Linked DNA regions of Astyanax mexicanus. The protein of the gene in region 2 interacts with the protein of the main gene of each other region in a pairwise test. Links are inferred from orthologs where the notes say so. Each region holds a gene or a part of one and is shown on either strand. Other genes may lie near its edges.

Evidence for each region.
Region 1: the proteins of sorbs3 (region 2) and vars2 interact in binary tests that used the Homo sapiens proteins (3 or more experiments, as listed by UniProt). The two-hybrid records come from large-scale screens. The link is inferred for Astyanax mexicanus from reciprocal best matches to the Homo sapiens genes SORBS3 and VARS2.
Region 3: the proteins of sorbs3 (region 2) and tbc1d22b interact in binary tests that used the Homo sapiens proteins (3 or more experiments, as listed by UniProt). The link is inferred for Astyanax mexicanus from reciprocal best matches to the Homo sapiens genes SORBS3 and TBC1D22B.
Region 4: the proteins of sorbs3 (region 2) and cpne2 interact in binary tests that used the Homo sapiens proteins (3 or more experiments, as listed by UniProt). The two-hybrid records come from large-scale screens. The link is inferred for Astyanax mexicanus from reciprocal best matches to the Homo sapiens genes SORBS3 and CPNE2.

The regions. Positions count from the first base shown.
Region 1 is NC_064410.1:37,645,827-37,653,272, reverse strand, and holds the start of vars2 (valine--tRNA ligase, mitochondrial), read left to right. Parts: upstream 1-4,334; 5' UTR 4,335-4,665; intron 4,666-5,851; 5' UTR 5,852-5,854; coding exon 5,855-6,055; intron 6,056-6,144; coding exon 6,145-6,226; intron 6,227-7,446. Other genes in the region: E3 ubiquitin-protein ligase PPP1R11, read right to left, coding at 39-147, 3,702-3,782. UniProt on the Homo sapiens protein: Catalyzes the attachment of valine to tRNA(Val) in a two-step reaction: valine is first activated by ATP to form Val-AMP and then transferred to the acceptor end of tRNA(Val).
Region 2 is NC_064419.1:21,984,240-21,992,402, reverse strand, and holds the start of sorbs3 (vinexin), read right to left. Parts: upstream 3,128-8,163; 5' UTR 3,011-3,127; intron 1-3,010. Other genes in the region: protein neuralized, read right to left, coding at 6,554-6,729, 7,124-7,321, 7,584-8,084. UniProt on the Homo sapiens protein: Vinexin alpha isoform promotes up-regulation of actin stress fiber formation. Vinexin beta isoform plays a role in cell spreading and enhances the activation of JNK/SAPK in response to EGF stimulation by using its third SH3 domain.
Region 3 is NC_064419.1:2,537,686-2,545,859, forward strand, and holds the start of tbc1d22b (TBC1 domain family member 22B), read right to left. Parts: upstream 3,113-8,174; 5' UTR 2,881-3,112; coding exon 2,825-2,880; intron 1-2,824. UniProt on the Homo sapiens protein: May act as a GTPase-activating protein for Rab family protein(s).
Region 4 is NC_064416.1:22,613,861-22,621,795, reverse strand, and holds the start of cpne2 (copine-2), read right to left. Parts: upstream 3,113-7,935; 5' UTR 2,369-3,112; intron 1-2,368.

The DNA of each region.
Region 1 (7,446 bases), on a different chromosome or scaffold from region 2:
ACTGAAGATATAAAACCTGAAAGTGAAACTATACTCACACTTTGAGGACCTCCTTCCCAAGTGCTCGTTGTCCACCGTGTCACTGGACCACTCCACCTTTTTCTCAGTCTTCCTTTTTCGAAGCTTGATGGTCAAACTTCTTCCCTCCTGTGTAACACAGACAATCCATGAAGAAATTCATACATAGACTAGCACTGCACGTTATTGGAAAACACTGAAAGAATGTCTTTTTCTGCTATATATCCTGAGACATTAATAACGCAGAAAGAAATCTAAAGTCACCAGATTTTAATGTTCTAACATTATAATAGTTATATCCACTATGTGTACCTAAAATTAAAGCTAAATAAGTTTAGCATCATGCTATGCAAGTGAAGAAATTTTTTTTTCTGCATACCCCTTTCCTGCAGATTGTTCTATTTCTCCTCTAAGCCTGCATTTCTCAACCCTAGTCCTGTGGGTCCATCTGACCTGGAAAAGCACCAAAATGTGCAACGCAGCGGGCCTTAAGCATTATCTGATCCAACAAGTCATATCAACTGTTGATATAGGTGGATGGTCACACTCTCCCTAGCTTCTCTAAATCTGTAATAATCGTTTGTGTGGAGGTGAAAACAATTTAACATTTCATATCTGAGAAATCTCTGATAAAAAAGTGGATCTAAAAACTTCAGTTATAAAGATGACAAAGTGAGGATTTTGTAACTAAAAATGAGTAGAGCCAAAAAAACTGAAATTAGGATGTGACCTCAAGACTTCATCACCCAGCTTCTAATTCCAGCAACTGACTGAAACGCCCAAGGCACATAGAGATCAAGCCCAGCTGTGTGCTTGCATATGCAAAGCAACGGCTGCAGCCAAAAACTCATATAATAAATTTAAAATTAGAGAAAATAAATTGTATCTTTTGAAAAATCATTTAAATATTGTGATGTATTTTAACTAGGAATGCACAGTGCAAATAAAATATATATATATTTTATATATATATATATATATATATATATATATATATATATATATATGTGTGTGCCCAATATTTCAAACCTATACTTGCTGACATATTTATTGTATTACAGAAATGGACCAAGCGATGCTGGCTGCACTACTACAACTGACAAACACTGGCCAAGCTACTTAAAAATACATAAAATCTATCTAAACTTAAAAAAAAAAAAGAAAAAAAAAAGAAATAAAAAGGTATACCAGAGTGTCTAGTCTCTGTAAGTTATAAGTGCGTATATCGCCATCGACCCAGAATTACCCACATCTGTGCATCCCTAATATTATCCATACAGTCCAGTCCTACCACAATATCAAATCAAATTCTGAAACCCCTAATATTCATTACAGTTTGTTTAAAATGTGGCTTTAAGCATATTTTTAATTCTGTTTTATTGTACTTCCCTACCTTTGAAAACAACTTTATTTCGCTGAAACAGAAAGTAAGCATCACACTGTGCTATTTAAGATGATCTTAGGAAAACAGGGTTTGTTTGCTTAAAATGTTATCAGTCATGCACATCTGAACTTCAAAAAAAAGTACCTTTTTTTGTGATCTACAAAATAAAAATGATTCTAATTCTAGTGCGGACGGCTCAATAGAGCCAAACCATAAATCAAAAAGCAGATACAGCAAAACCCAGCTGTCTACTGAAGGCATTGACTGCATTAGCAAAGAAGAAGAACCACCCACGTAAACAGACCAGGTGTGGGAGGATTTCTTCACAAAGTGACAAATTATGGTAGTGCTGATACAGGCTGACCGCAAATAAGAAACACAAAAAACTAATGTCCTGATCAGAGAAAAAATATTTAAAAATTATAAAAAGGTAGGACACACAGGTGGGGAACAATGAAGGAGAACACTCCAAAACGTAGCTGAGCGAATGTCCTCTACTGCCACATCATTCTTAAAGGCCTTATGAAAATAAGCCTCAAAAACCATGAGTGATTTTTGTGTAGGTTAATATATATTTTAAATGCATTTATTTATAGCTTGTTGTCTCCACAGATTTTATGCAGAGCAGTAGTCCTGCCTGCAAGACACTAATGAAACATTTTAATAAGTAAATGCTGGAATGAAACAGATTTGTGCAAGTTATTTTGTGTACTGGTATCTGCTTGTATATAAACATGGCTTTATTTTGTACTTTAGAAAGGCTGGGTCAGTAAGGCAAGTCAGGCTACTGAAGCAAACTGCTGACAACCAGCAGTGTCTGAATACCTTACTACCTTAATAAAACATCCTCTCCACGATTCTGCCTGACCTAGCAGTCATGGGGATCTATAATCTAGTCGGCACTGCCACTATATTTAGTGAGGCCATGAAATAGAGATCAGAATAAATCAATAAAAGCAGACAGGATTAAGAGAATTGAGATGTAGGCACACTAGACTAGAGTGAGGAGAGTTTGGGATGAATCTGACTGTTGTGTCTAGTGTGGGGTTTACTTTATTACCCCATGAGATTAAGACACTTTGTGTCTAAAATCTGCTTCTTATATTTTGCACTGGAGCTATGAGACTAAAGCCGGGATTAGTTTCTCAGGTGGTCCTGAGGTAATTTTCTCTTATATGGGGGTCCTCTGTGATTTTATTCCTGTCTGGAACAACCATGCAAGATTAGACAAAACATTGAACACACAACACAAAACCTCAGTGAGCAACATAGGCAACAAAAACTCCCTCAGAGCTGGAGGAGAAAGAAACTTTGGGAGGAATCAAAGCTCACATGTACCTTGTGCTATCACATGTGCTATCACGACTAATATATAGGTTGGGGTCCTAGCCTCCTCAAATTAAGGGCTTATGTTAAGAACAGCAAACAGAGACAATGTTTCAGGCTTATTAAGCCATCTAGGTTAGTTAACTAGCTGAACTACCTAGGCCAATCCAGTGGATCATGTCTGCAGGAACATCTTTAGCTATCTAGTTATGCTGATCTTAAATCTAATGATTTTCAAGCGATTTCACTGTCGCAGAGTCTTCCTAGAGGTGAGTTGCGGTCACATCATCTCAATGTTTAGTGTAAGGTTAGGATAGAAAGTTTTTAATTTTATTTTAAAACAAAGACAAATGTATAGCAGCTCACTTTAAAAATGTGAAAACTAGCTAAACATACCACATATCACAGAATTACACTAGGTAGTTATTAATCACAGCATTGAAATGAGTGTGGATTAGTGAAACAGTCTTATGAAGCGAGCTAACATATAACTTTACATATTATAAAACCACAGACAAGCAGCAAGTGTTTTCTTTATGGGGTCTTGCAATTAGATTAGTTAGCTAGCTAGATTAGCTAGCTAGCTAGTTACCTCAGCTATCATAACAACACAGATACTGGAGACTTTGCAGTGCGTTAAGCTAGCTAACCTAACCTATATTAGCTGTTATCTCTATGAGCATTTTTGCTGTATCATTCTGTGCCCCATAAAAGCGAGTCAACTCCTGCACAAGCTGTTTACTTTTGGAAAACTCAATCAATTAAAACATCAGTATTGCTAAACAGCACAATATTTTCAAAATGCAATTTTAAAACACGCTGGACTGCTCCTTTAATCTCCGGTACCCACCCCAGTTTGAAATTATGAAGTTAGGCTATCTATAGTTAAAGGACCAGGACACAGTCTGGTGTTGCCCAAAGCCCCTGAGCCGCAGTGTATAAACGTGCTGGATACGAGAGCGGTGATGATTACCTGCTGAGGCGGCGGAGGAGGCGCGGCCGTCGGCACCGTCTCCGTTATCGTCTCGCTGGACGGACCAGGGACCTCCGCCATGCTTACGGTGGCTCACGAAGCTAGCTTAGCTCCTCCTGTAAAACACACCGACCTCCCACACGCTGTGTACTGGCCGAGCTGTGTTTAGAGTCTAAACACACATAGAAAAAAACAGCAGACACAGAGACCTGGAGCGGCGGGCAGAGGCGCGGCTGTGGGGCGACGCTGCTCCCGGAGCTCAGCACAGGCCGGAGGAAACAATTCACAGACGGACCGACCCTTCCCTCCCTGTGCTCACTATAATATATCCGCCGGTGTTCCGTCGAGTTCTGCTCCCCTGTCAATCCGTGCTGCCCTAGTGTATGTTTAACTGTAAAATTATATTTTTATTACTTTTTTACACGGTTGTAACACTCAAGCAAACGATGACTGTGAGTCAAAAATTTACAATACATCCGGGAAAAAACCTACTGTATCAGGAAAATACTACAGGTGAGTAACCCAGGTCCAGAAAGTAAAATCCATCCCAGGGTTTTGTATCTGCAGCAGAGCCGCCCAGGCAGTTGGTACAAAGCTCTTGGTTGGATTTTTACTTTCTGGACCTGGGTTACCCACCTCTAAAAAAACCCACATGAAAACAGTAATAAATGAGAGTTTTGCGCATGCGCAGAGCCGCTAAGTAGCACAAATCGATGGGTAGCATAACTCGATAGAACACCCGGCCGGGGAGCCACTCCAGTCTGCCGCACTGAACTCAGCCTAAACACATCTAATTCTATATTTTCTGATTCATTATTAGGAGTCTGCGGGGCCGCTCCTGCGTTTCGGTTACATTCTCTCTCATGCAGCTTCCTGCTCTTATTACTGTCAGTGAATTTACGGAACACAGAGCAGCTTCCAACATGTCTGCGCCCTGATACTACATACAGCACACTGACTGAAGGTAACTCTGTCTTTACCTCTGATTCACTCTAATACACACACTCTAAAACACACAGCATCATATCTAAAACATGCCTTTATTATTTATATTCGCACAAGTATTTATTGTTGTTATTTATTTAAGTTTTTGGAAAAATAAATACACAAATAAAAATAATTACTGTGGGATAATTATTTATTTCCATGATTTCTCCCACACTTTTTAATTTGTGTATTTATTATCCAAATTATGTATTTATTGTGTGTATTTATTGTCCAAATGATTCCTTTTCAGATTCTTCACCCACAGTACTTATTAATTTGTGTATTTATTGTCCATAAACTGTAGTTATGCTTTCTACTTATTTGGATCACTACTGGTCAAAATATTTCTAGTTTGCCTTAATTTTCAAAATACAATTATGCAATTCACAGGTCTTACTTCTTTTTATATCTTTAGAAACCATACATATTAGATTTGGGCGATATAATATCACAATATTTTATTAAGTTTATTTTTGCGATAACATTATTCTTAGCTATATGACAAAACAAATTTAAATTTTGTTTGTAAATTCATTTCAATAATATACTACTGCAACAAAATAAATATTTAAAATGTTTTATTTAGTATAAATATAAGCTTTTTATACATTCAGTAGTAACAAAAAAAACTATAAACATTTGTCTAATGTTTCCTAAACAGTAACTTACCAAGACCCTGATTTTGTATAAAATAATAATACTGTAGCAAAAATAAAAAATGATCAAAAATAAAGTAATGTAACAACAAAAATCTACCTCTGAACTAATGTTCAGCATCTTAAAGTGCATACATTGCAAATACACCAGATATATACACAAGCGTATCACAAAATCACGATATGCAGTTTTTTTATTGTGTCAAAATGTTTGGTGATATTATTGTGTGCAATACGATATGGGATTACACTTTAATAGAAAGAAATACTTACCGTAAGATAACAGTCTCTGGCCATGTCTGGTTTAAAGACATTTTTGAATCTTTCATCACCACTGAATTGCATGAAGTGAATGTGTATATATATATATATATATATATATATATATATATATATATATATATATATATTGACCATGACAAAAGCATTTTTAAAGAATGTATCTTATTCTACTTTTTGTCAGCTTGATTGTTTCTAACAAAGCTATGTTCTTTCTTTGCTTATTAGGCAATGTGGAAGCTCACCTGTGGCAGATCCCTGGGGGCAGGTAGTAGAAGTGTTACCAGAGCTCGGAGAACATGGGGGCAAAGGTGCTGCTCTGCAGCAGCTCAGTCTCCACCTTCCTCCTCTTCAAAGCCTTTACATCCACAGAGAACTCAATCAGAAAAGGCAAAAAGGAAAAGAAAGAGAGAAGAAGCCATTCTTCACAGTGTATGTTACTTTCCCTGATAAATAATGTATTTGTATAGTTTAGCCCATATACATGACAGTGATAATATCTACTGTCTGTCTCATTGCAGAATGTGGATAACATTGGTATGAAATGGTCAGAAAAAGAGAAGATAACATACAGTGCTGCTGTCCTGCCTGGCAAGAAGAAAGGTACTGTGTGCTGTCTGTTGAAGTATGAAACATATGAAACATATGAAAAATATGTGTAGTACAAATAATGTCAACATGAAAAGGCATTAATACTATGATACAGTAAAACTATAGTTTACAATTCATAGTTATACATTGCATGTGTCATAAAAAAAAAAATATTTTTCAAAGATTAAAAAAAAAAATATGTGAAGCATAATCTGCTCAATTTAGTGGGTTTATTACAGCCTATTGAATTAAAAAGACCTTTAGGATAAACAAACAATGGAGCAGCCACACATGAATAAGGTTATTATGTCCAGTGCTAAGCACTAATAGAAAAGATAGCTTCAAAATGCAGTATACAGTGTTTAAAGTGTCCTTCCGCTAAAATTCACTTTTTCTTGTTCTTTGTGAAATACAGTAGGTTTCTCTGAGTTGTATAATCATGCTGAATATGAAACTCTTCCTCAGCCTCTATTGTCTGCAGTAGCTAGTAAAAGAAAATATTCAGAAAAACGAGTCAATCAGGAAAAGCACTGTGTCTACATCAAATCGAGAATTAGTATTCATGGCCTCGATCACCTTGGCATGCGACCGCCCACAAGAAGAGCTGATGACAGGCAGGCAGCCGGGCAGCGACACGTCTCGTCAGATAGGAGCTAACAGTTGTAGGAACAGCATGACAGTTCGTTCCTGTATTATTTGTGCAAATAACACATCAGTGTTTTATGCTTTGCCCATGAACAAATTATTAAAATGATTAAAATTTGTCTGTGGAACACCACCAGTGAAGTACAATTGAGATGAGGTAGGTGTATGTTTAGAACAGCTCTGTTTACAATAGTTAAAAGTACAAATCCAACTGCCTGGGTTGCTCTGCTGCGGCTCAGTCAAACAAAACTTTTTTTTTACTTCCTGGACCTGGACCACCCACCTCTGTGTGTGCGTAACTATAGGGTTACATAGGATCTCCGATGGATTTCACATTTTACAGAGACTAAGACTAGGTTGTTGGCTGAACAGGGCATTACATATGTTGCATGTAACATATGACATTACAAAGACTGTTATTAGTGTAAAAATTTCTTTATTTTAAAACGTTTCTATCTGTTGTTCTTCTCACTGCCTCACAGTGCTGTAAGCCAATCAGAGGTGATATGTTTGCATGTATGAATATTTATGAAAGCACTGAAATCAGAAAGCACTGAAATCCTATCTTTCTCCCCCCACATCTCCAC
Region 2 (8,163 bases):
TAACAGACTCTGACAGTGTGATGTGAGAGAGCAAGCTTGAAGGAATGGAAGTCACTTCTGTGTAAACAACACGAGACCCATCCTTCTCTACTCCAGCAGATAAGAGCAGGACAGAGCACTCAGCTAACAGGTACTTTGCACCTGATGGAGGAAGAGCCTTCTCAGGAAAGGTTGGTTACATAACGTGGGTTCTTGTGTAAACGTGGCCTCGCCTAGGAACCTCATCAGCTGAACAAAACAGGCCAAGTCAGCACTGCTGAGGGCCTGGGAACTAGAGCTTCAGTAATAAAAGATGAACTGAAGAATAAACCAATGACAAGATTCAAAAAAGGATTCTATGTTCAAATATTTATACATGTTAAGATGTTTCCGCTCCAGCTAACTAAAAAGTTTGTAGTTAGGGTTTATTTGACTAAACTTCAGTCACAATTATCTACCACAATACTTAAAACAGTGTATCTAAAGACTATCATAGTTTAACATAATTCTAGTCTAGTGAATCTGATCTAAATGCAGCTTAAAAGCAAAATAGATACATTTATGAATGATGTTCAACTTATATAACACCTTTCTAGAGACCCAAGGACGCTTTACAATGAACACGTTTTACACACAAGCACATTTCACATTAATACTCATCCACACACCGGTGAGGAGCGGCAGCCAATAGCGCACAGCGTACTCTCAACCAGAAACGACCATCCACTTGGAGGACAGCATTGGGCACTACAGCCTTTACCCAGGACAGAGTGCCAATCCATATCTGGTCACTGTCATACACATACATTTACATACATACCACACACTTAACACACCAGATCAACTTAGAGTATTCAATTTTCTGGGCAATTTAGAGTATGCAATTTTACCAAATCAATTTAGAGTATAACATTTTTCTGGGCAATTTAGAGTATCTAATTTACCTGTTGGAGGAAAACGGAGTCCCCGGAAGAAACCCACGCAGACACGGGGAGAACATGGAAACTCCACCCAGATAGGGTCTTGAACCCAAGACCCCAGTGCTGGGAGGCGAACGTGCTAACCACTAAGCCACCATGCCGCCAAATTTATTGCTACATTAAGCATTTAAAGATTAAAATTTTCACTTATGCAACAGAAACTGACCAGTATTGTACCCTTGTGTCTCCATTTTTCCCTTTTTATTCCTTGAAATAATTTAAATCTACAATTCATCATGATAATTGGCCAATAGACCTATTCCAAAATGACTTAGATTAAAATCTTGTAAAGCTGTCTTGTAAAAATGTTGAGCACACTGACCATCCAAGTCATGGGATAATAAGTAAGTAAAATGATCATTAAGCGTTACCTCAGGGGATGGCATGAGAAAGCCCACACCTGTAAAAGTTGTGAGGTTTTATCTTGATCATGAGGCTAAACACTGGTCAGCACGCTCAGAGAGTTCAAGCGAGGACTGACAGTGAGTCCCAGATGGATGGGACATTCCATTTCTGAACATTACCAGCATACGTTGACAGTGAAATGGTTGGTAATGATTGTGATGGCAGCATCTGGCTTAAACTGTCCATACAAACAGACAGACTCTTGCAGAAATTCAATGAGCATATCCCACAGATCAGTGCAGAACTGTAATGATGTGTTTTGAACCACTAAAAAAAGTTTGGGTTTTTGAGATTTGGAAGAAGCAATAAGCAAACAAATTACTTGTTTAAAAAATTCTATATTTTGTGAATATTGTTACAAATTACGGAAACTCAGAGCTGCCAAGCCCTAATATATATTTGGCTCAGTATCATGTAATTACGTGAAAAGTTTTATGTTATAACGTGAAATTTACCATGTTATAATGTGATACTTATCACGTTATTTCATGATATGGAATTATCATGTTATTTCATTATGTGGTATTTTCACGTTATAACAAGAAATTATCACGTTATTTCGTGATATGAAATTATCACGTTATTCCGAGATAAGGAACTATCATGTTATTTCATGATATGCAACTTTCACGTTATTCTGAGATATGCAACTATCACGTTATTTCATGTTAAACATTTATCATGTTATATCATGATATTAGGCCATTCAGCACTTCAACACTTACCAGGTTCAGTGAAGGAACATGGCTCGTCTGCATGACTTAATTCAGTTCTATTTCAAGCTTGGTTTAAGGCATGGTGGAATTCTACAGTTGTTGAGCACTGTAGCTGGAGGCGACGTGAAGTGAAATGGAAGCGCGCTGGCTTGGCCGTGTATCAAAGTAAACCATATTGATGTTTTCACGTTATAACGTTAAAATATCATGAAACAACTTGATAAATGTTTATCACAAAATAACATGATCATTTCATAATTCGAAATAACATGATAATTTCTTATCACGAAATAACATGATAATTTCACAATATAACGTAAAAATACCATATCATGAAATAACATAATAGTTTTGTATCACGAAATAACGTGATAGATATCACGTTATAACGTGATAGATATCACGTTATAACGTAATAAATATCACGTTATAATATGAAACCTTTTACGTTATTACATGTTACTGAGTCAAATTATATTTCTATGGCTGGCAGCTCTACGTTGCCGTAACAAATGACCTTATTAGTCTGAAAGTCTTAACTAGCACATAATTTTTCTTATTATTATGTGAAGAACAAGGGTTTTTTATTCTGGATGTACAAAGACTTTAGAAGATTTTAGTGGCACAGGAAGGCAAGTGATGCATGATGATGTGCGAGAAAAGGTAAAATGACTTTCAAATTAACACTGAGCCAGAAACTGGCCATTCATCCATCAGGACCAAGTTCAAATGGCAACAAATAATTTATTCAAAAACAGAAAACGACTATAAGCTGGAGGCAAAGGCTGGTTAGAGGAAAACAGACCATAATGTCATATTTTGTCAGTGTTTTCCAAAATGTAGGCAGAATATAAATGTAATTATATTTAATAGAAAACAATGGTTTATGATTGGATGACAGCAGCCACCAAAAAGACTCTGTATACTCACAGTGTAGATGACTGAAGTTTGGCTGAATGTCTATGGTGGTTATTCCATTGGGTAATGGGCAGTCCAAACTGTGTCATGTAACTCTCAACACTAGTCTCTCTCTCTCTCTCTCTCTCTCTCTCTCTCTCTCTCTCTCTCTCTCTCTCTCTCTCTCTCTCTCTCTCTCTCTCTGTCACATATACTTGTTTTGATATTTTGCTTTGCTATATTTTGAATCTTGATGGCTTGATGCTCTCTCTCTCTCTCTCTCTCTCTCTCTCTCTCTCTCTCTCTCTCTTTCTCTGTCTCTCTCCATTCGCCATCCAAAATAAATATTTAACAGCTCAGCTGCGTAATCAACTACTAAAGGTCATCTCTCTCTCTCTCTCTCTCTCTCTCTCTCTCTTTCTCTCATCCCCCTTTCTCTAACTCACTCCTCCTAATCACATATATAAAACTGAAGCTTTAGTGTGAATATACAGATTTATTTAATCTTAAAACATTCGTAGTTATCAGTAAGTCCGTTTATTTTACAGTAATAACGTTATAAGGGTTTACCAGTAGTTTACTCCAGTCTCCGGGTGTCAGACTACTTTATTAACTTGGATCTGCTTCCCTCTGCTGTTCAACTTCTGTTCCACTGTTTTCATTCTCCAGCGTCTTCATATCAACACCTTCCTAAAATTTTGCCTTTCAGGAAACACATAAAAACATATAGTTTTTATGACAGTTGTTATGGCTATTTAAAAAATATTTATTGAAAAGACACAAAACAGATAACATTTTAAAATGTAAAAAGGAAAAAAAATAGCCACAACAGTAGAGCATTTCTAGACTCATGGCTACATATATTAGCTTTATAATAATAGCTTTATAGCTCTTTCAGACTCTTTCAATAAAAATCAATAGTAAGAAAAATAAATTTTCTGTTCATGCTGGATGTACAAATATGTTTTGAGAGAGGATATTAGTGTCACAGGAAGGCAGGTGATATATATGATGACTGTGTGAAAAAGGTAAGATGACTTTCAGATGAACACTGAGCCAGAAACTGGTCATTCATTCGTCAGGGCCAAGTTCAAATGGCAACACATCATTTATTTGAAAACAAAAAATAACTAAAGTGAAAAAGTCAATAACACTCAATAATAAGCATAAAAACTATGCATTTTTTTATTAACACGAATTTTCAATTATATAAAAAACCTTTCTCTTACCAATTGAGGATGAGCCCTAACCGTGTACAGCCTGGTTAAGTTAATTCATTAGTTTAATTGCTTAAATAAAACAAAATAGTTGAATTATTATTATATATCAGTTTCTATTATTATTACTATTATTATTATAATACGTTATTACTAAATGTGTCCAAGTATACCTGTCCATCCTGAGAATCTGTAATAGAGAGAAAACCTACTTTAGAATCTCTTTCAGGTTTGTTTGTTTGACCACCAGAGGGCGCGAGGGCGCTCCGGAATTAGTCCAAAATGAATGGCTTCATATGGAGGAATTGCGCAAAATCAGTTTATAAATGAGTTTATAAATGTTTGATATTTTTTTTCAATTTCCTCAACACAGAACAATACCACATGTTTCAGCATGGGACAACTACTTTTTAAGCTTTTAAACTTTAGTTATAAACATTTTAAAGGAGTTCTGACTGTAACTCCAGCATTAGCACAACCAGTTAGCTCAGAGCAGCAGTAACTTCTTTACTGCCTAAAATCTGTTTACTGCAAAAATAAATAAATAAATAAATAAATAAAACTGAAATATATAGGTATTTATTCTTTGAGTTTTTATATTCTACTTTATAAATTAAAGGAATAATTTGGCCAAGCAATTAGGTACTATTTTTCATTTGTGTTTTTAGCCTTTTAGCTTCATTCACATTCATTTTTCTCTTTTCTCAACTGAATCTTTCAAACTTTTCAAAACATGGTACTGGTACATGATACTGGTCAATCTCAGGCAGCTTTACTTAATTTATTACAAGTTTTTTTAAGATGAAGATGGTTACATTTTTCTCAGTCCTGTTACCAAAAATCATGTGACATTTAAAAAGGAAGTCCACTAATTACTTTGATTTTCTCTCAAGAAAGTCTTTATTTTAAAGAAATGGTTGACTGCATGTTCAAATAATTGATATTTGAACATCAATTATTTGATGTTCAAATATCAATTATTTGAAGTGAGTTCCAGTAACAGGTCTCCAGTAACAGCACTCAGTCCTGTTACTGGCACTCACTTCTGTTACTTTTTATGTTTTGAGTAACAGGACTGAAAGTAACAGGAATGTGTTTTTAGCATAGACATAGCAAAAACATGAGAAATAGCTAAATGGTGGCTATGCTAATAGCATGAGGACTATGAGGACATTCTAGTGATTTTCCCAAAATGTGTATTTTAAAAATGAACAAATAATAAATAAATGGAAAAAAAAATCTAAAGCATGGATGGGATTTTAATCATTATATTTTTTAGTAAAGTTTATAGTTAGAGAGTGGGGACAGGTAACAAATGCTATTTTTCAGTGTTATTATTATTTTTTTTAATTACGTCTTACTTTTGCAATTAGGTCAATGTACAAGACGCTATTCTTAATAATGAAATTAAATTATTTTGTGTGCACATTTACATGTAATTTTCTAGAGACAAGTAAAACCCATTCATAATTGTGCTTAGAAAAAAACTGTAACGCTTAGTAAAACCAAACAAAATATGCCTCTAAAACATATGTATGTATATGTGAATTGTGTTCTCTTAATACCTAATTTGTCCCAATGTTCTACATTTAGTCAAAAAATAAGATGTTTTGTTCTCTAAACAAACAGAAAGTAAATCAATCTGTAGGCTGTAATATACTATAGGTTGGGAAAGACCGTGACATCATTCTTATTCACAAACCCATCCTGGGCACATCTCATACAGCACGTCAGAACATTTCATAACTTCTCTGATTTCTTCTCTGAATCTGTGATGTATGCATGTCTGATTCTGAACCCGTCAGAGCTTTAGTCACAGTTTCTCTCAAACAGGATTAAACCTGCTGTTACAGACGGGTGACAAACCACTGACACCTAGTGTTAATGTGTGGTAATACTGTAAATTATGACAGTACACAGCTTAAAGTTCATTCAGTGCTTTAGTACATTAAAACATAAATATATACAATACACATATATAATAATTACACATTACGTACAAAAAAACAGACAGAAAAAAACATTTACAAGCTTATTTGAAATATAGTAGTGCAGTGCCTTAGTACGTTTTAACATTCTTTTTTTCCTTTTTTGTAGTGGTTTCTCCTGCAAAGGTTTAAAAGTGCATTAAGCAGAGAACTATAGTTCTGAAATACAGAGTTTTATGTGCAATCATGAACAAACCCTCATATGTCCAATACAGCAACTTTACAGCAGAAACATTAACTTTTCCTAATTTACACTGAAAGTCAATGTAGAAAAAAGTTTTATTGAAACATAATCTGGACTATTTGCTCTGGTCAATATAAAAGACCATTTATGATACATTCAATCTGTCCTCCATTTCCCTCACTCTCAGCTATGTGCAATCATCAGAGTCGATTGGACGCAAGCGATACCGACACAGAGGACATGTTCCAAACTCGCTGAGGACCCTCCAGGCACAGTGAGAGCACACACACCGATGTCCACAGGTCAGCATCACATCCGCAATGTCTGAGTAACACACGACACATTCCTCCATACTTTCATAACCTGAAGATAAAAAGAGAAAAAAACTGTTAACCTAGAATTACTTTATTAAAACTAATGAAAAACTGGTACTGCTCTAGCCATTCTTAGGTCGCTGCTATGATACCCCATACGAAATATTATTAAAAACACGAAGAACTAATAAAACTGACAGAAGAACTTTAAAACCAACAGACTAACATTACTGCATAGATAATCTCCAAGTTCATTGTTCAGTATTTCAGGTGGTTCTTTGGCATTCAAGTCTTTCTAAGTGAATGCTATGATACTATGAAACTATGTTATGACCAGCCATTAAACTTTAAAAGGTCAAAAGTGTAATGAACTGGTTTACCAACAGGATAACTGAAATATGAAAATTTAACACTATTTTCGATCCAAATGTTTAGGCTCTTACCTGTGCTTTTTCTGTTGCTCTGACAGCAGGAAAGATTGTCATTCTTTCGATTCTCTTGCTCTTCTAGGCTGTTCTGGTTCATCATCCTCTCCAGAATCTCAATGGGCACATTGCTGTAGCCACAGGTCTCCTCTGTAGGTTCGACTGTGGGCACAGGGCACGACCGGCGGGTGCTGAAAAAGCATTTCTTCATTGAACCTTAAAAAAAACAGGACCAAGAAAAACTGTCAGTTGCTGAACACTGAAAATGCATGGGAATCTTTAGAATAATTATTTTTTAAAGACACATTTAAAGACTGGTAGCTATGAAGATTTGTCATTTATCGTTTAGCTCAAATGAATTATCATATCATAACATAGGCATTAACAAACTGCATTAACTTATTGACCAAAATGTAACACATTATTATGTGATAAATCCCTAAATCCTTAATTTAATTTAAAACACTTGTAAACTGACCAAGTAACAGGACTGTGTTGGTCTGCCCATAAACGTCAATCATGGCCCAGATCGGCTTGTGTTTGTCCACTCTGGTTTTCATCCTGTGCCTCTGCCCATCGGCTGTCTGGACATGCAGGGATCCACTGGGACCGATCCAGAAAATGACCTCTGATCCTGGCAGGCACTGCTGCTCAGGCACTGGAATGGCCCAGTACCCAGGAAAGTCTGTTAGCTCAGGAATGGCCAGTGAGGGCACGGCTCTGGACCCTGGTGCGACGCTGGTGAAGCCAACCCTGAGAGCGCCGTGCCAGCCCATCACACAGCGCTCAATACGCACGCACACTTTCTCCTGCACCCTCAGCGGTCTGCTGCTGAAGATCAGGCCGTGACGGAAGGACGAGGTGTCTCTGGTTGCACGTCGGCCATCTTCACTGAGGGTCACTAGCTGGCCCTTGGCTTCTGAGTGGAAAGTCATTGGACCCAGGCAGCTGCTTCCACAGCCACAGCTGAGCTGAGAGCCTGAGGGGAAAACACATTAACACCTAGCATTAGCGTCAACATCTAGCATTGGTGTCAACACGTAGAATTAGAATTAAGT
Region 3 (8,174 bases), about 19 Mb from region 2:
CACACAAACACCTGAGTTACACACACCATACCTTCATTCACACAGGGCGCGTTAACCAAAACATGTGCTGTAGGCTGTTAACACACTTTTTTTTGCTTTAAATATCATTTATCTGGCATTTGTCTCATTATGTCACATATGCCTGTTACAGAAATTTTATAATGATATATTGTTCCAGAAAATATTCCGATAAACAACATTACTGTCATTTTAAGGCCATTTACATTTACACTTACATTTCATTCCACTGATTAAATAAAAACAAGAGCATAGGAATGCAGTTGCACCTTTTTAAAGAGCAAGAATTTTTTTTTTACATATTAAAAATATATTCAGTCATTGAGATTTTAATATTTAAATTATGTTTAAATATTCTTAATAACTAAAACATCAATAATGTAACAATGCCCTTGTTGAACAAAGTTATCATCAACTCATAATACACTTATGAGCTCTCCTCACTAAGAAAAAAATAAAAATAAATAAATAAATAAATAATAAATAACAATACTGTATTTTTCGTACTATAAGGCTCCCTATCAATTAACGTCTTTTTTTTCTGGTCCGTTTTAATACATAAGGCGCACCAGAAAATAAAGCGCATTATGTGACACTAGGAAGGAACAGGGGTGGTGGTGGTGGTGGTAGTGGTGGGGATGTAGGTTAACTAAGTTAAGTAAACTAGCTAAACTAAGTAAACAAAAGTGTAATTCTTAAAAAAAAAAAAAACACATTAAACGAGCGCTGGATGTTAATCTACACAGATTTTTCTCCTAAAAACTGTTTATATAGGGTGAATAAAGCGCTAAGGCTGGAGCACTAGCATTAGCATTAGCCTAGTAAACGCCGGCCGGTAGCGCTACACTGAGGGACCCTGAGTGTTTTGGTAAACCAGGGCGGTATTAGCTAGCAGTTCTTACCACGTAACTTGTTTTAACACTCTAAACACAGACTACAGTCTGATTTACACTGAAATCATATCCATATATTATGTCTATATAAGTCAACACAGGCCTTGGTGCACCTGTAGTAAATAGTATGAAGCCATTTAAAGGCAGAATGACTAAAAAAAATTGAACATAGCTTTAAAAACTGCAGAAAATGTAGAATTATTAAATCTTCCATCACAGGAAGCATCTGACTGCTCAAGTGTCAGTAGATCAGTGTGGCAGTTAGAACTTCCCCTTTAAGAAAAGCTGAGTCAGACAATAGAAAAACCCACAGAGTTTAATCTTCCATCAGATCACACTTTCTGACTGCAAGTCACTGCGATCACCACCTCCAGCGGAACTACATCAACTCAATCGTTCCTCCGAGTGACGGGAACAACTAAAATCAGTTCTTACATTAATATAAAACATCCTGCAAACTTTTCACAAAGTCCCAACTCACTCTGACTGACTCTTATCAGAAACGGCAGTGTAACTCTGATAGTATGACACTCTGATATGAACACCTTGAATATATAGAAACAAGAAGATTTTCCAGACTAAATAGATTCTAAAGCCAGTATTTTTGATGTATGTGTCTGAGAAAGTTGGCTTTAATATTAAAACTACTAATAATAGGAGTGTACCATGTTGTATCATACACAGTAATATAATGTCAGCTTAAAAAAAAAACTGTATAAAACTCAAATAAAATATTTTATTTAGGGACATTATTTTAGTTAGAATAAACCCTATAATATATAAATGATCCCAAAATTCATTGGAAATGCATGAATTCCAGCTGTTGCTGAAAAACTGGTTAAATCTGGTTACTGTTGATCTTAGAATGCACGGAACCAACAACAAATTACATAAACATTGGTCAAAATGTTTTATTATTCGTTTGTGCTCAACGGTTGACTTATTGTGACTTAAATTTAAAATTGCGACTCCAGGAAATTCCCTACGCATGGGTTGTAAACAGTGGTTTTAAATAAGATTCTTGTGTAGTTTAGCCTAATAAGAAGTCATGGCCATACATTTTTATTATTTTTTTTTTCATGATTTCACCTTAAAGGTTTCCGTAAGTAAATCCGTACTTAACAGGATCACAATACAAAAAAAATATATACATATATCGATATGTTGCCCAGCTCGACCTGCAACTTCTCCACAGTAAAACGAACATTGTTGTTTTATTCTATAAACTACAAACAACATTTCTCACAAATTCCAACTAAAAACACTGTCATTCAGAGCATTTATTTGCAGAAAATGATAAATGGCTGAAATAACAAAAAAAAAGATGCAGAGCTTTTAGACTTTAAATAATAAGGCAAAGAAAACAACAAGTTCATATTCATAAAGTTTTAAGAGTTCAGAAATAATCAATATTTGGTGGAATAACCCTTGTGGTTTTTAATCACAGTTTTTTTTATGCATCTTGGCATCATGTTCTTCTCCTCCACCAGTCTTACACACTGCTTTTGGATAACTTTATGCTGCTTTACTCCTGGTGCAAAAATTAATTCAAGCAGTTCAGTTTGGTGGTTTGATAGCTTGTGATCATTCATCTTCCTCTTGATTATTATATTCCAGAGGTTTTCAATTTGGTAAAATCTAAAAAATGAATCTTTAAATATATATAGATTTACTGTAGATATACTCAGAGCTTCAGACTGAACTGAGGTCAGGTTAGATTAGGTTAGTTGTACGTTAGGTTAGTTAACCAGCAGACAGATAAGAGAGATAAGCACTGCTCTGAGTTCAGTAGCAGCTCAGTAACTCTAAGCAGAGCTGAAATACCCAGGTGCTACAGGTGCTAAACGACTTAAACAAGAAAAATAAACCCGTATAAACCCCCAAAGAACACCAGAAGAACCCGCTCCGCTCACCTGCCGGGACCCTTAGCGTTCCTCCTCCAGAACTGGAGTTTGTTTTCGGTGGCCATGGCCGGAGACCCGGGCTGAGCTCTGAACCCTCAGCCGGAGAAATACATCAGCCCCCGGCGGATAAACACCGCGGCCGGGCTCCCCCCGCTCCCCCGCGGCCTGTTACAGCCTCTCGCAGCGCTTTACCGCGGTTTACCGCGCTCCACAGCGCTTTAAATCTCTATATTTACCAGCAGAAAGTAAGAGAATGATACTTCGCGATGGACGCCGCCATCTTGGGACGGTGCTTCCCCAGCGTGATTGGATGAAGTGGCAAACAGGTGCAGAGAGACCAGCCAATGGAAGGAGCGGGATTAGAATAGGAGGCGGGGCATGTGTGGATCTGCTCTAGCACTAGAGCTGAACAGGTGTAAACAGCCAGGTAAGCAAGTTAGCACGTAAAACACTGTCTAAAGGAGAAGTTACTGTACTTAAGTAATAAAATACTGTATCTGTATCTACTGGAGTATTATTTTCATGCTTTACTTAAGTGCTACTGAGATACAGCTCTGGAAAAAATAAGAGACCACCATTTTATAATTATTAGTTTCTCTGATTTTGCTGTTTATAGGTTTATGTTTGAGTAAAATTAACCTTGTTGTTTTATTCTATAAAAAAATGACTAATGACATTTCTCCCAAATTACAAATATAAATACAATTAAAAAAAACTATGGAATGTAATCAAGAGAAGGATAGATGGTCAGAATTTTGAGAAATAATAATCTGGGTTATTCCACCAAATTATTGATTCTTTTCCTTAGATAAACCTTTAGTATCGTTGTTACTAAATGAGTATGAACTTGTTTTCATTATTTCACACATTATTGTGGTTCGCTATATTCGTTATATTTAAATATACAACTTTTTTACAAGGGTGGTGTAACTCAAGTTTTGATCATATTTAAATATATTTTAATTAGTACTATCTACAGCATTTGCACAACATGCACTGTATCCAACTGTTCACAGATATTCACACATATCCTTCTGAAAGTAAATCTGGAGATCAGCTGTTCTGTAGATGCAGTTTACATCACAATAATCAATAAAGAATCATGAAATCAAACGTTTAGCCAAATAAAAAGCAGTTCTACTGCCCCCCTGTGGCTGAGATCCTTTTTTTCTGTATCATTCAAACATTATGATCTAATTATATATACAGTGGCTTGCAAAAGTATTCATACCCCTTCCAATTCAATACCTTCCAATAATGCCAACGCTGCCATCTCCAACAACTCCAGCTCAACATTTTATTCATGTTTATATAATCAAGGCTAAGTGGAAACACGTTGAACGTTGAAACTGTCTCATTAATTGACTTTATTTTACCTAATAATAGCTTACTACAATGTGTGTAAAGGATATCTTAATAGTTGTAATTTCAATGCATCGCCTCTAAGTGTCGCCAAATGACAAAAACACATTAGAAACATACGTACAAAAAAACTTGCGTACAAATATGGCGTACGCTATGTTTTTGTGCATACGCACCTTTAGTGCATGAGGCCCCAGGTGTTTATATTTATACTGAGACTAAATTACAGACAGCTGGACTCAAATATAATAAAAAAATAATTCAGTGACTTCTGACGGTAGAATTCAGGGTAAAGGGGCCTGAATACTTTTTTGAATTTTATGGAATTTAAATCTTCAAAAAACCATGAATTAATTTTAGTCAATATCTCTGTAATAAATATCTGTGTTATGACACTATCTTTTAACTAAACTAAATATTATAAATATTTTTCCTTCTAATGAAAAATATGTATTTAAAATGTTATGCAGTCCAACACTAGGCTTAATCCCTGTCTAAGAAACCGAACCATCATTTTCAGAAGGAAAATCTTTGATCAGAAACAGATTTTTCTGTAGAACAGTGATTCAGGCACTAGATGGCAGCACAGGCTTTGGAGAAAACCTGTGTGAAAGATGTACTAGACTGTTGTTCCTGCAGGTCAGGCTCTTTCCTTTTTTTCCAGCTTGTGTTCTCTGTGCTGTAACTCAGTAAGAATCTCAGTAAGAATGGAGTAATTATCTGCTGACTTAAAGCAAGGCAGATTTATTAGGTATCCTTATGCTTATCATGTGATACGGAGCGTTTAGGTGTTTGCAAATTAAAATGTCTTTAAAATGTTCAGCAAAAGAACTAAGAAGAGTAACAAGCCCAAGTGAATGGAGAAACTGGCACTCATCAGGAATGCCCCAGGAAAGGAAGGCCAAGGGCCCTATTTTAGCGATCTATGGCGCACCAATCGATTGCGGATCACGCAGCTGGATTAAGGGTGTGTCATTGGTGTCTTTGGTATCGTGATGGTGCCAAAAATACGTCTTGCGCAGCTCAAAATGCGCAAAAGGCATAAACTAATTCTCTTAATTAATCATTATCAAAAATTAAACCAATCAGTGTGCCTGTTGTCATTCCCTTTAGTAGTAGTGAATAGTAGTGTTGAAATCTGCCCCCCCGCCATGAAAAGCACCCTCTCTTCTTGATGAAAGCGCTTTAACTTTACTTAAAAATACGCTCCGAGAAAGGGTGCTTTTCCTGGCGGGGGTGCTGAATTCGGTGCAGAACGGTGCAGATTCCACATCGGTAGAAAAACGCTCTAAGTTTAAGTATAAGTGCTGAAAAAAATCATGATAAAAATCAATATTAGCAAGAACTAGAGAAGAAAAAAACATTCCGTTCAGAGGGTGAAGAGCTGTTGGGGAAACATGTCCGGTGAACTGTAGTGGAACATCAGGAAGCAGGATTTCCTAGAAATAAAGCTAATGACTGTTAGAGAGAGAAAAGAGAGAGAGAGAGAGAGAGAGAGAGAGAGAGAGAGAGCGTTGACCCAGAGGGCTTTAGCTGTACGATTGTTATTCTAAAGCACTCTTCACAGGAACAGCTCTTACACAATGCATTTACTGTTATCCGCCACTCTCTCTCTCTCTCAGTCTCTCTCTCTCTCTCTCTCTCAGTCTCTCTCTCTCTCTCTCAGTCTCTCTCTCTCTCTCTGATAAGCTGATGCAGCTCTCCCCTTCCTCGCTGATGGGAAGAGTGCAGAGGGATGAGGCAGTACTGTTACTGTTACTGACAGTAGGAGAGCGTGTGACTGTGACTTTTATTCTGAAATTTTATTCTTAGTCCTAGGTCTTTTGAATCCTTTTGATCTTTAATGCTTAAATATGAAAAAGTATTAGTATTGGTATCGGTATCGATATCGGCAATACTGGCCCTGTATTACCTTGGTATCGGATCGATACTAAAATTCCCGGTATCGCCCACCTCTACTGTAGAGCGCATTCTGTTCTGCATTCTGATTCCTCGGCTGTTAATGAGCCCCCCCTCCCAGATTATCTCTCAATGGATGCATGTGCTCAGGCCTGGGGGTGGTGTGTCTATCTGTGTGTGTGTGTGTGTGTGTGTGTGTGTGTGTGTGTGTGTGTGTGTGTGTGTGTGTGTGTGTGTGTGAGCCTGGAGGAAGGTAGGGGCACAAGGCCGTGTGTGTGTCCTTCACGAGGCTCAAGCATGCCTGGAATGTTTCTCTCTTTTCCTGCTAATTCCCCCATGGTGTTTGTGTTTGTGCTCTTTCATTTCGGCTCAGAACGTGCGCATGCCTTTGTGTGTGTGTGTGTGTTTCTATGTGTCTGTGTGTGTGTGTGTGTGTGTGTGTCACACATTCCTGGAGGAAGGGGGGGATCAAAAACTCAACTTTTACCGCTTTTGTCAGCAAGCCTGAACAGGAAGGCCTGAAAAACAGCCTCCCCGGACAGAGAAATAACGACGAAAAACAGTAAACACTGAGAACAGCTGATGAATGGATGAGTAGGAATGATGGATGGGAATTATGGAAATGATGACAGTTCATATTTCTATGGAATTTCGCTGGAAATGTTACCAAAACAACAGAGAGTGAGAGACAGAATGAGTACAGGATGTGCTTTGAGTGACACGTGAAAGCGAAAGCATCTGTTTCTAAATTATAAGTATATGTTTTATTAAAAAATGCTAAACTACAGACATTTCTCCCAAATTTCCGATTAAAAATATTATAATATTATCATTTAGAGCGTTTATTTATGAGCAGAAAATGAGAAATGGCTGAAAAAAAGACCTCAAATAGTTCTTTTTCATGCATCTTAGCATCATGTTCTCCTCCACCAGTCTTACACACTGCTTTTGGATAACTTTATGCTGCTTTACTCCTGGTGCACAAAAACATTCAAGCAGTTCAGTTTGGTGGTTTGATGGCTTGTGATCATCCATCTTCCTCTTGATTATTATATTCCAGAGGTTTTAGTTTTGGTAAAATCAAAGAAACTCATCATTTTAAAGGGCTCTCTTATTTTATTATTATTATTATTATTCCAGAGCTGTATATACTGTATATGTATTATTTGGGTGCTGGGTCTTTCCTCAAATGTAAAATTATTATTTTTTTTTTATGTTAGAACGGTACAATAACCACTATATTACCATTTTAATACCAGTTTAATATTTTGTTAAAACTTTTTATGGCTGTTTTCTTCATAACAAGCATTAAAAATATTATAAGGGGTGGCCAAACTTTTTAATGGGCATAATATCTTTATTCATATATGTAAAAAGCTAGTTTTGGAGCTTTTTGTTCCAAAAATGATACAATAAACACATAGAACAAACTAAAACACATATATGTTGTTGCTGTCTAATAATAATAATAATAATAATAATAAAAAGTATCAGCATTTTTCTCTACCACTTTACACTGTGTCACTGTGTTTCTTGATAAATGGACCAATAGGCATTCTCCAAAATTACCTGAAATAATAGTTTTCACTATTTTTATTCAGCACAAATAAACAAACAGTGTCGTTGCTAGGAAATCTGCCTTCAAACCAAACTTAGATTCATTCCTTTGCAAAAAAAAAAACAAGCATATCATATTATGGCCAAAATATCTGTCCGGGAACAGAACAGCCTCTGAGCAATGCTTCAATGTTTTCATCCAATCAAAGAAAAATAAAAACTAAGTGATACGGATTCACTGCTAAAAGGCTAATAAGTTACATTTTAAAACACAGGGCTCAAGTTTTTAACGTTTTTACATAAAATATAATCTTCTTTTGCTGGAATAACTGTCCCTACTACCCAGGAAAAAAGGCTTTTTAATAGATTTTAGAGGATTGCTGTAAGGATTTGATTGCATTCAGTGTCAAGAGCATTAATTCATCCACTAGAAAATGCTGTATGGACAGATTATAGGGTTACATTCACTCTAAAAAAAAAAAAAAAACAGAGGTACGATATGAGTACTTTTTTGTACTCAAAGGTACTCTCTTCATAATTG
Region 4 (7,935 bases), on a different chromosome or scaffold from region 2:
TACAGAATACAGAAAATGTTTTTTGCAGGCTTTCATTATTGATTAATTTTACCATTGCATACATTGAATAGCCTTAATGTATTTTTGTCTTGTTTTCTTTTTTAAAGAAAGCATTATTGCTTTGATTGTTTTTTCACGATAATACATCCAAACATTGAAAGTCATTTTTAGTGTTTGGATATGCCATTTTCATACAAATAATTTCAGGTGCTGTGTGCATTCCTAAATTTAAGACAAGTCAGTTTGGGTTTAATACAATATCTATATGCAGTACTGTACCACCAATAGGTTACATCTCTTAATTTTTAAGAGGGTCTCTCACATGTCACCTTATGTGACAATATTTAGATGCGTTTTCGCTAATTTGTACAATGTGTACAACTACATTGCACACATACACATATATATTCATTTATGCCAGTCCAATCTAGTAGAACTGAAAATGGTCAAATCAAATCGATTATATTCAAACACCATGTGGACCTTTGACTATTTGACTATTAGACCCCATTGCTAATAACACCTTCTCACCTCCTTTGTAATAACAGTTATTTTAACCCCCACCAATAGGACCACTTGATTTTTAAAGCACACTGCACTTGAAGCCCTCTTTAGGATGTTTGGATTATTTTTAGTCCAACTGTGAAGATGGAGCAGCCGAAAGGCATGAACTGTCTTATGCACAGCTGAAAATATTCGAAGTGGAAAAGACTATTTAGCACTTGAGGCAATTCTTTGTCTCCAGTATTGTTGTGTTTATGCTGCACATCCTTCACACAGACCCCAAAAGACCACTAACCACTAAACCACATGAGCAAAGCATAGCAGGCTGCTGAGGGGCAGAGCTGCAAGTGGACATAAATAGGTCAGTGTGGCAGAGGTTGGAGTTTGGGAAAAAACAACGTATAGTACCTAGAATAGGACTAGGAGGTAAATCAAATCAATTTAATGCACTGAATTATTGTTTCTTATTTTTAAAAATGAGATAATAGAGACTGTACATCTTCACATAGAAATTTGCTTTTATGTGGCAGTGATTTTCAAATGTTACACTTTTCTTTAACTGAAATACAAGCATGTTATGTTTGCACTGTGTTCAATAGGGGGCTGCTTACTATTTATCATGAATGATAATGAAAAAAAAGATAACAAACATGGTTAAAATAAATGTAAAGAAAACACCACATTGTATATCACTTTAAATGGTGCTGTTTGTTTACAAACTAAAAAACCAAAGATATGTAAGAACTAAAAATCTAAATCATAATCGCTCATATGTTTGAAGAATAATGAGATTAAATGTACAATATTACAGAGCCCTAACTTATATTACTTACACTATGTAAGTATAGTGTAATGAGAACCACTGCTTTATCATGGTTATTCTATTCAAAAGTGGTCTAACTGCACAAGGCAATGACTAAAAACAAATATAGCATATATTAAGAATATAAACAGCTACATACAGGTTACTTCTTGACACAGTCTAGCACATATACATATTTTTATTACTTATGATGAACCACTTAATTGCCTCATTGTATTGGACATTTAGTTTGATGCCTCAGAGCAAAACTACAGCTCTGGAAAAAAATAGGAGACCACTAATCATGATTAAGAACCTTTGGAATATAATCAAGAGGAAGATGGGTGATCACCAACCAATCTGAAGTTATCCAAAAGCAGTGTGCAAGACTGGTGGAGGAGAACATGCCAAGATGCCTGAAAACTGTTATCAGGGTTATTCCACCAAATATTGATTTCTGAACTCTTACATTTTTTTTTAAATATGAACTTGTTTTTTGCATTATCTTGCATTTGTATTATCTGAGGTCTGAAAGCTCTGCATCTTTTTTATTTCACCCATTTTTCATTTTCTGCAAATAAATGCTCTAAATGACAATGTTCTTATTTGGAATTTGGGAGAAATGTTGTCTGTAGTTGTGTAGTTTATAGAATATAACAACAATGTTCATTTTACTTAAACATATACCTATAAAAAGCAAAATCAGCGGAACTGATTCAGAAACTAAAGTGGACTCTTTATTTTTTCCAGAGCTGTAGTTATTCAATAAAGAGCTAAGAGAAGACTGCATGATAGATAATGTTACATAGCTAGGTAACTTAGCTAAAATATAATAAACAGCGGCTTGTTTCTGTTTTTCAGTTTCTATAAAAACAAGCTTGTCAGACTGAAAGGACCACTTTTCTATTTCTGGTCTGTTTTCATTGACTATTTTGAGTAGGAACGACCAAGAATAACAATAAACAAACGAAGCCATACTAGGTAAACTAACTGTTGAACCCATTAACGTTATATTTAACAGATTTGTAGTCTTCTCTGTTACTTCAGAAACCCACCACTCACCTCTCAAAAGCGGTGGCTCAGGCTTTTCTTCGCGTGGCTACTTTTTTCTGGAGCGTCAGTTCCGCAGCAGCGCTTCTCCGCGGAGCCGCTGTGTGTGAGTTCGGGCTGTGGGTCCGGAGCGGACCGAGGCGGTGACACGTTGCTCTGCTGCTGCTGCTGCTGGCAGGCGGGCGGGTCACTCCAGCAGCCAGCAGTGAGGCTGAGGCTGGGCGGGCTCCCTGTGAACCATGGCAGTCTCCACCCGCAGCTTACACACACTCACACACACACTGACAGAGACTCACTCAGAGCACACTCTCTCTCACACACAAACACACGCCACCCCACAGTATAGTTTAGTTAACAAGGCTCCTAACAGCTCCGTCCGGTGTTCTGTCGATTTCTGCTGCCCTGTCAAACCGTGCTATCCCGTGTGTATTTCATATCTTGTTAAGTATCCCGTTTTGGTCTACCACATTTAACCCCTCTTTCCCGCCGTCCTCCCGTATTAGCATTTCCTGTAAATTTCTTGTATTACATTATAATTAAAATAAAAAACATTCCTGTGCCTCTCACAACTGGAATGTCACTAATGACGGATGGATGGATGCAAACAGAGAAAGGGCATTTCTGCTAAAAAAAAACATCATACTATGATGATACATACTCATACATACTATGTACATATGTATAATATTATACATACGCCTTCTGACTGCAGAAAATACTATTGATCACAACATCAATCCAAAACTTGACAGGTATGGTGTATTTAATATTTAATTGTAAAAAAAATCCTGAAAAAGCACTTTATTTAATAACCCTGAATCAAAAATCAGAATACAGTTAAAAGGGAATAGGCGAGATTATATCTTGTAATTTTTGCTCGATTATTATTATTATTATTATTATTATTATTATTATTATTATTATTATTATTATTAATGCCATTTACACTTAGATAAAATCTAATAATGACATAATGACAGAGGAGGGGTTAAGGATGTTAAATATGCACCCAGGTAAAATTTAGTAGAACTACCACAAAACACATGGAACTATAAAATAAATGTGGGCATGCGCACTGGTATTAAGAAGCACATTTTGATGGGTAGCACAACTCGACACAACACATCACTGCTGCCGAAGCTGAGCCCAGGCAGGCAGACACAGCCCCCGGTCACACTAGACCAGAGCGGAGTGGACCATCTGCAGATTTATCACTAAAGAACCTGTTTTTTATGGTGTGTACGCGTTTGGTTAAAGAGAAAAGAACAACCAAGATAAAATACATGGTGTTGAAACCACCTGTTGTTCACCAACACAATTATTCACTGCAGGTGAACAATGCTCCTCTATAAAAGTAAACATTAGCTACTTAGAGTTAACTAACCTAGTAAACATGACCGCTACAGGTAAGGTCAGCTAGTATGACGCTACAATTGTATCGTTATTAACTCGATTAGTAAAGTCAGACCTCAGAATTCAACAACAGGTTTCACCTCATTCTAATTAATATCAACACTCAAGTCTATGATTTAATAATTACTTTGACGCACAGAAGGACAACAAACAACAACGTATCGATACAATTATTCAACACAATAATGTAAAACTAAAAAGACGTAATTTTAAAAATATAAATAAATGTACAGTACACGTTCTCACGCGCCTCTGCTGCCACCTTGCGGGCAATTATTCATTACTGGACAATCAGCTGCTGTAAAGAATCTGTACACGTGTTATGTGTGTTTACCACTGTATTATACTGTATATGGTGTGTACATGCAATTTTCACTCAACCCAAAATAGCCACAGACCTTTTAAAAGTCTGTGTGAAGTTCCCTAAAGCGCACTGTCCTTCATTTAAACTCATGAAGCCCCTGTTGGTGTATCACTAGTGATAGGGGAAGTCCTAATGAGTGAGTTGGATAACTGGCCGGGTTAATTGGGGTGAAAATGGGAAGAAACCTTGAAATTTATATATATATATATATATATATATATATATATATATATATATATATATATATATATATATATATATATATATATATATATAAATATATCAACTCAAACTCATGAAGCCCCTAAGTAGCACACACTGAACATTATTATTTCTAGAATGTAGATGTGCTGTGTTAATGCTTCAGATCACACTTCATCTATTTAAAAGTGTATTTTAGCCTCAACAGCTCTGTTTTAAGCATTTTCCCAAAATCTTCAATTTAATGTTTTACAATCCACATAACTACTATATATAAAACAAAATGGTAAACTAGAAGGTATGAAATTGTTGTACTTATGTTTAACCATTGTTGTTACATCAAGAGTTTAACTTAAAATATTAACATATTAATTTGAAGAATTACTTTAAGATTTTCAATCAATATTAAGAACTGGGTTTGGGCTCTTAAAAACACAGGCTATAAAATATCTGAAAATGTTAATAGCTGAATACTACCCAGCCAAAAAAATAGCCTGATCACCTCATGTTGACCAAATTTAGTTCTTCACCAGAATAGTAGCGTTTTAATTTTAGTTTGATGGTTTAGGTGGTCTACAAGCATGGACAACCTGACCAAGCTAGACCACCAGTATGACCAGCATGTTGGTTGGCCAGCTCATCCATGATGGTGGACCAGCATCACTACCCTGAAAAAAGTGATATTCGTTAAATACAGGTGCTGGTCAACGAATTAGAATAATTTGAAATAGTGCAATCATGAAATTCTTTGAATGCATTTTTTGTGCAGAAAGCAAATCAGGTGTTCACTGCACCTGTCCTACTCGTTAGACTAATCACAGAACTCGTTACCTGGAAAAAAATTTGCTCAGCTGAGCTTTCCAAAAGGCCCATTTAGGCCATTTAACTGTGACACTGTTGTTTTATTGAATTAGAATAATGGAGAAACCGTTTCATTGAATTAGAATAAATGCTCGAATTTTTGTTTTCTGTGAAGAGTGTTCACTGTGCAGTATAAAGTCAGGGTTGAGTAGAATTTCTAAGTTGTAAAATCAATCATGGGTAAGCAGCGCGACCTCTCAACCGGAATAGTGGCTCAAATTCAAGCCCTTCGCCAACAAGGCTTGACCCAAACTAAAATTGCTGAGCAGCTCGGCATCAGCCAGTCTTCCGTCTGCAAAGCTCTCAAGAAAAACTGCAGCAAGCGCACCAACTGTTCCGGCGTCCGAAAAACTTCTGCTCACGACAACAAGCAGCTGAGAAAGATTGCAGTCAGCAACCGGTTCAAGTCCACTTCCGAGCTCACCGACTTGTGGAACAAGCAGACCGGCGCTGACGTCTCCAGATCAACCACTTACCGTCTTCTGCGCGAACTCGGCTTCAAATCTCGCGTTCCAGCAGTAAAACCGATGCTGAACAAGAAACAAATGGAGAAACTGCTGAAGTGGGCCAAAGAACACGGCGAGTGGACTGCTGAAGACTGGCAGAAAGTGGTCTTCAGTGACGAATCACGCTTCTGCATCTCCTTCGGTGACCAAGGTCCTCGTGTCTGGCGTCGTGGTGGCGAAACCTACAACCACGAGTGCGTGAAAAGATCCGTCAAGTTTCCCCAGAGCGTTATGGTCTGGGGATGCATGTCCGCTCGAGGTGTAGGGAAACTCTGCTTCCTCAAGAAGACTGTCAATGCTGCCGTATATCAAGATGTTCTGGAAACGTTCCTGATTCCGACTGTTGAGGAACAGTTCGGCGAAGAAGACTTCATATTTCAACAGGATCTTGCACCGGCTCATGCGGCAAAGTCGACCAAAGATTGGTTCACTAAAAAACAGCTTGAAGTTTTGGCATGGCCGGCCAACTCGCCTGACCTCAATGTCATTGAAAACCTTTGGGCCATCGTCAAGCGGAAAATTCGCGACAGAAAGCCTACTACGCTGGACCAACTGAAGCAGAACATCGCCACTGCCTGGGAAGCTGTGAGTGCGGAAACTTGCGACAAGCTGGTCAAATCGATGCCGCGGAGACTTCAAGCAGTCATACAAGCCAAGGGGGCAGCCACAAAATACTGAGAAAGTGATGATTGTAATTATAATAAAAATTATTCTTATTCAATGAAACGGTTTCTCCATTATTCTAATTCAATAAAACAACAGTGTCACAGTTAAATGGCCTAAATGGGCCTTTTGGAAAGCTCAGCTGAGCAAATTTTTTTCCAGGTAACGAGTTCTGTGATTAGTCTAAGGAGTAGGACAGGTGCGGTGAACACCTGATTTGCTTTCTGCACAAAAAAATGCATTCAAAGAATTTCATGATTGCACTATTTCAAATTATTCTAATTCGTTGACCAGCACCTGTATATTATTATATTTGTATCAGTTATCCAGTTTATATAATTATGTACAAGTAAAGAGAATCAGAACCAGTGTATGTAAAATAATGTAATCAAAGAACAGAATTTTTGTCTCTCAGTATTTTATTACATTATTAAAAAATGTGTTTCATGCAGCCAGCTCACATTACAATTCATAAAAATCATGCAAAACAACGGCCTATCAAAGTTATTTTATTTATATTAACTCCATGGAATAGAGCTTACATGTCTTTTTAGCAAGGGGACATTTTTTTAATGTGACCAACTGAGTAAACAAATGTGCTGATGTATTACTCTGTTTTTGTTACAGTGCAAAAAATATAGGAATGTGATGCTATGCTATGTAACTAATGGGAACTGTTTACCTGTTAATACATCAAAAATAAAACACTCAATAAATAGATTTTGTTGGCCCAAATCATTTTATCGTGTCTTAAAATTACCTGATTAAAGTCTGGTAAGTTTTGTAATATGTTTTCATATTCTTCATATTTTCTGTTACAGGACTTCACAGTATTTCAGTACATAGAATCAGGCAGCCCTCTATTCAGCCTAGCATCACTTCTTACCACTGACCTCCTAACCTCCAGCTACAGCGCTCAGTCTCCATGACTTAGTATTTAAAAATCTCTAGAAAACTCGTTCTTTGCACATTCTAAGTTGCATGATACCTTTAGCATTCTGAGCCATTTTCTTTTTGGACTGTTTCCAGGCTTTGCCTTTACTAATGATATGAATCTCCACAGTGGAGTTCATGACTGTGATTTTGACTTCTTTTGTCTCTTTGACTTTTCTCTGCACCTGCTTCCTGCTCCTCTAGAATGGCCATTACACATACTCAGAGGTATCTTTAAAACTGACACACTACTGTGGTATGATGCAATATAATACAAATTGTGCGCTTCTTTTTATGCATGTAATTATGCACACTAAAAATATTAACTAAAAGACAGAATAAGTACATATATAAATGCTGGATGTCTACCAGCAGTGGAAAAAGAAGTGGAATTAAAGAAAGGCAGTCGCTGGTATATTCTTCCCACAGAGATAGAAGAACTAAATCATTAGCTAAGCACAGAGCAAAGATTGTGCATTAGCATGTTCATTAACTGCTGAAAATGTAGTTTCAGACCAGGTGCCAAACATGTGACACCCACCAGCATTCTTGAGTGTGTTCAGTTTAAGTCAAAGCTAACTTTTTTAGCTTTTTTTCAGCCTTTACAAAAATAATTCAGAACATTTCCTAAAACATAC